Tribolium castaneum: one gene and its partner. The protein of the gene in region 1 binds, or shares a complex with, the protein of each later gene. Links are inferred from orthologs where the notes say so. Each region holds a gene or a part of one and is shown on either strand. Other genes may lie near its edges.

Region 1 (2,945 bases):
GTTAGTGCTAGTCAAGTTTTAAGCGGTCTTTTGCACTGCCAATTTATTCCAAACCCTCAAGAATTATTAGTAATTATTCGGGTTCTTAGTTTATCGTTAAATAATTCGTGAATTCTAGGCGCAATTTAAACAGAAAGCGAAAACTAAATTGAAGAAGAAAAATTTGAACAATTCAAACAGTTTGAATCTTAGTACTTTAAGATTTAGACATGCTGGAGTTTTGGGCTTGTGTGCTTTTATCAATAGCCATCCATACGACGTACCTGACTTTTTACCGGATGTTTTTGGACAATTAGGACCCCATTTGAACGACCCCCAACCCATTCCTGTGAGTCACACTTTCGTCGTTTAAAAAAATAATTAATAATTTTTAGGCAACAATTCGCAAAACCTTGGGAGATTTCAAGCGAACGCATCACGAAAACTGGGAAATCCACAAACTCAAATTTACTGAGGAAGAACTGTTAGTTTTAAGTGATCTCACAGTGCCTCCCAGTTATTACGCCTAGGCAATAATTTTCCGATTCCAGTCAATTTACAATTTAATTTTTTACTAGACAATAGGTGAAGGAAGGTTTAAGGTAGCAAAAATTTACGCGTCAAATGTTTTTTATTTTTAACCTTGTTCATTATATTTTTTGTGGTTTGATAAAAGTATATTAAGTGAAATGTTTATACATGACTTAATTCATCTAATAAAGCAAGACATTTGTCTTTTAATATTTTAACAGCTTCCATGAATATCACATCAGGTGGTAAAGCCCCCACAGATTCGACCGTAACTAAATTACAATTAATAAAAACTGAAAAAGTAAATAAAAAAAAACTTACAAATGAAATGATCCTGAATTTTGGTCATCGCTACTGCGTCCTTGAGGTCTTCATAACGGAAAACATTCCGACTTCCTGTATCATACCTCGCATTAGCTACAACAGCGTATTTGCGGCCTTTTTCATGTCGGATTGAAATCACACCGGGAGAGAAACATTTTTGGAGTCTCTCAGCTGCTTCACCTTCCACTTCTCGTAATAATTTTATGTCGGGAAGAAGGCGATAAAATGCGGTTGCGACAGGAGAAAATTTCGCATGGTCTCGCCCGTTGCTCTTGACTGCTAATAATTTTAAATCTAACTCATGGCCTGGCCTCATTTTGGCAATGAGAATGTCAGGGTGGATGGGGCCCACGTCACTAAACCGCTCCTTCTGTTTACCAATGGGCACCCATTTGATGTGTTTTGAATACACTAAAATTATTGCAATTTTTATTGTTTCTCAAACGGGGTAATTACCATTATTGTTTTTGTACATATCTTCAGCTCGCAGTGAGTCTTTACTGCTGTCTTTATTATTGGTACATTTAATTTTTAACGCAAACTCTAGAGTATCCTGTTCGGTACCTTCAGCAGTTGCTGTAAAAATATTGTAACGTTTGGAACGGCAACATTACAAGACTTACGATCAGTTTTCATTTCAAATAATCGGGGGTCGGCCTTTAGCGGTATCAGGCCTAAACGATGGGCCAAAACTTCGTCTTGGATTATAGACGTGTTATTAAGAATGTGAACCTTTTCAATGGCCATTGTGGGGACATCACTCAACATTAACCTTCTGAAAGTGTTTGCTAGGAACGGGTGAATCCCTATCAAGTCAAATTCGAGTTCATTCTCTTCACTTCGCACAATCACCACCCTAAATCTCTTCTTAAAGGTTTTCAAGTCCCATTTCTCGTCCAAAACAGTTGGTTCCGAGGGCAAATTCTTCAAAGGATGTTTGAAGGAATTTAATACAAAATAATAAAGGACATACCTGCGTCACTTTATATTCTCCTAAAATCACTCGAGGCTTTTCGTCATTCAGAATATTATCCATTTTAAACTTGTTTCAAAAACTTGGATAACCTCAAACAACGCACGTTTTTCGTAAAAATGACTACCAACCTTACCGTCCTTACCACCCAAAAGCCACTTAAAATGTCAGCTTTTTAGGTTATGTTTTGTGAAAAATATAAACAATTTTTGAAAAATATGACGAAACCCGAATGCTCCAAACAGGAAGCTTCAAACACGAAAAGCAAGGCTGAAAAAGACTCACAAATAAGCACACCTGAAACGGCTAAGGCTCTGTTTGCCGATTTTGTGCCAGAAGAGTCAGACAGCGAAGAAGAAAATGAGAAACAAGACGACAAAAAAGACGAAAATCTTGAACCAGCGTCAAAGAAATCACGAGACAGTAACTCGAAGGTAAGTCACCAGTACACCAAATGAAAAACCAACCACCTTCCCGCAGAAATACATACCAAAGTACAAAAAAGAATGGGAGAATAAACCCGAATTGAAAGCATGGTTATCAGAGAGCATACATGGAAATACGTATTTCTACTGCAAATTCTGTAAAAAGGATTACAGATGCGGGATTTCCGACATTCACAAACACATGTCGTCAAAGAAACATGCCCTCAAAGCGGCAATGCCTGCATTCAAGGCACAGAAATTTAAATTTCGGGGGCTTTTGTGCCCCGTCTTTACCCCATTTACTAACTTAAAAAGAGTGACACCTGATGTAAACCTTAAGGCTATACCAAAATACGCAAATTTTTTAAAAGCTTGCAATATTAAAGGAATTTTAAGTATTTCGCAACTCTAGAAAATGAATTAAATTAAATGGTCAATTTTAGTTAATGACATAACCGGGGAAGGAATGTCCTTAACCATTCATGAAAGAATAGATTTGGCGGACGCGTGGGCTGACGCTTGTGAAAAAACAAATCAGTTTTTGATGGCACAAATCGGGGGAGCCCCCCTCAAAGACGTTATAGAAATGGTAGTTTAAACATTTGTTAAAACTGTTAATATTTTTCATTTGTAGGCAAAACACGCCGCTAAGAGGGACATCGGCGCTGTTGTAATCCTCCCCGACCTTTACAACAAACCAAAAAACCACCTAG
Region 2 (2,548 bases), on another chromosome or scaffold:
GCTCTTAAAAATACCATGCAATGGTGCAATAATAAACAGGGTGTTGCATTTGAAAAAATCGAGTTATTGCAATATGTAGTTTGTCATATTCAGAAAATCGTAGTAGGCGCTAAAATATCGACATCGAGTTTGCTTTTATTGCAAAAGATGCGCTAAAGCTTAAGAAGTTGGCTAAGAAAAAAAATTGTTACATTATCTTAAATGGTTCTGAAGTTATACATTTTTTGAGGGTCTTTGCACGACACACTTTTCACACATAAATTGACATAAGTCAAAAACTATGACAGATAAGTCTATAAAACCCGGGTGCATTATATCGACAATTTAGTCACGTTTTCAAAAATATAATAAAAATTGGGGTTTCCAATTAAAAAAACAAAACCTAGTGGAGTATTTTATTACAACATTACAACATAAAAATATTGTAAGACCTATCGTTTAAAAAAACTTTAAATTGATAGTTTGCATAGAAAAAAAGTTATGGAGCATGCACGAACTCTTGGGTCACTCTGTATATGCACTACCTCGTGAGACACCCTGTATATTTTAGGTGCAAAATGCTTGGTTCAATACTTTAAATTGAAATTAGCTGTTATAAATTATTCACGCACTTCAAAAAAATAATAGCTAATCTAATTTATACTTTCAATGATAGTTCCAATCATAAATAACAATTTTACAATTTTATCAATACTATTTAAAAACAATATTCGGCAAAATGCGGCGTTGGTGTTTTTTAAGTTTTGAATGGTAAAAGCTCAGATCAAAGTAGTTAGCGTTGTTATGTTTACGCAATTGTTTATTCATTGTTTATTTGACAATTTATTACCAAACAATTACCACTTGTTACCAAACGTATATAGTTATTTTTTTTATATAAACAACTGTCAGTGTCAAAATTCTGATAAGGACAAGACTGTATCAGTACTTAATCTTAGAACATTTTATCGCGTTTTATATTGGGTTTAAATATTAAACAATTCCTACCTTGAAACGGGACAAATCCGCTTGTGTAAAATCATTCGGCAGATTAATGTAAAAGTATGGAGAAAAACCATGAATATGACAACACACACTATTGCCCACTTTTGTAATACCAAACATTCGAATCACAGGAACAGTACCAGTTTGAGCCCCTGGCATTCCAGGATAAGGGGCTGAAATGTAATGATCCAACTCTAATTCTTGAAAAATTAGTGCATCATCAGTGGGGTTTAAATCGCCAACTGGGGGGCGAAAAATTTTGTCGTTCCTTCAATTAACCAAATAGAAAACAATCATTTTTTGTCAAGAAATCTTACTTGAACCTCTTCCCTGATGAATTCGGAGGCGGAAGATTGCGTTTTGTTGCCATTTTGCTGTAAACAAACGGACTCCAAACAAGATATTTCAGTTTCTTCCCGCTTAAAATAATTATAGGTTATGTTGTCTTGAAATGCGTGAAGTGTGACCAATATGTAAATTGGAAAATTCCCAACAGTTGACACATGTGTTTTTTAGGTTAATTTTTCGAATTAAATCACTCAAAAAATTAAAAATGAGTACTGGCCCTAATTTTGAAAGTATCGAAGGGTTTTGTCCCGACTGTGGTTCCATTTTGCCACCTTTAAAACAAACAGGAGGTGTGAAATGTTATGCCTGTGAACGCAATTTTCCATCAGATGGTAAGTTAAATTTGTCTCAATGATAATTCTAAAGAATTGATAATACTTTTTTTGTAGTTTTTCGAGGAACTAAAGCTTCATATGTGATACACTTCAATTCGCGAGACTACAAAACTCATTCAATGAACAAGCAGAACAATAAAAAGGATGAAGAAGAAGATGATGGTCCTGTTGTTGATAGAAAATGTGCCAAATGTGGTCATGATAAAATGACTTATGCGACAGTTCAATTGAGATCAGCAGATGAGGGCCAAACTGTGTTTTATACTTGCACAAAATGTAAATTCAAAGAGAGTGAAAATTCGTAATTGGTCAATAAATACGCATTTTTGTTAATAACTAATTTATTCAATTTAAAAGCATTAATAATTAAAAAAAATGAACAAATAATCTATAGTCCTATGGAGGACTATAGATTAGGAAGCGAGACGGGGTGTAAAATAGTACGGTAGAATTAAAATTGGGCGCTTCGAGTGTTATTTGGCGCCTAATAATCGTTTTACATTAATTTTATTTCAACCAATTAATGGAAAAAATACATCCGTACCGTAATAGGTTGAAAAAAAGTGACGCCCAAAATTTTTACGAGAAACGTGAAAAACAATATTTGAAATCTGCCGCATTGTCTCATATTTTTCAAAACGCTGCAAATACAGTTGAAGATACAAAAAAATGACTAGTGACTGTTTTAGGCTCTACACCAACTTACAACATGAGTGAAAGTGAGACTTAATTGTTTGTGTTATGTTTTTACTTAATAAAAAAAGTCTACCTTTTATATTATTGCTTTGGATGTTACAAAGTTCTGTTTACTTGAATCACCCTGTATTTTTACGTTAAAGTTCGCTGCCAAAAGATTAAAGATTGATATTGTGTTTTAAACC

Evidence for each region. Proteins that work in one complex are often made in the same cells at the same time.
Region 2: Polr1C (region 1) and Polr1H share a complex: the UniProt entries of both Homo sapiens proteins name them as parts of the pol I pre-initiation complex. The link is inferred for Tribolium castaneum from reciprocal best matches to the Homo sapiens genes POLR1C and POLR1H.

The regions. Positions count from the first base shown.
Region 1 is NC_087396.1:18,341,428-18,344,372, reverse strand, and holds Polr1C (DNA-directed RNA polymerases I and III subunit RPAC1), read right to left. Parts: upstream 1,983-2,945; 5' UTR 1,871-1,982; coding exon 1,808-1,870; intron 1,759-1,807; coding exon 1,458-1,758; intron 1,411-1,457; coding exon 1,291-1,410; intron 1,246-1,290; coding exon 832-1,245; intron 783-831; coding exon 673-782; 3' UTR 592-672; downstream 1-591. Other genes in the region: proteasome activator complex subunit 4, read left to right, coding at 1-69, 119-328, 375-509; N-acetylneuraminate lyase A, read left to right, coding at 1,990-2,241, 2,288-2,627, 2,676-2,821, 2,867-2,945. UniProt on the Homo sapiens protein: DNA-dependent RNA polymerase catalyzes the transcription of DNA into RNA using the four ribonucleoside triphosphates as substrates.
Region 2 is NC_087397.1:21,420,296-21,422,843, forward strand, and holds Polr1H (DNA-directed RNA polymerase I subunit RPA12), read left to right. Parts: upstream 1-1,448; 5' UTR 1,449-1,537; coding exon 1,538-1,664; intron 1,665-1,721; coding exon 1,722-1,972; 3' UTR 1,973-2,003; downstream 2,004-2,548. Other genes in the region: PolD1 (DNA polymerase delta catalytic subunit), read right to left, coding at 988-1,252, 1,302-1,354. UniProt on the Homo sapiens protein: Core component of RNA polymerase I (Pol I), a DNA-dependent RNA polymerase which synthesizes ribosomal RNA precursors using the four ribonucleoside triphosphates as substrates. Can mediate Pol I proofreading of the nascent RNA transcript.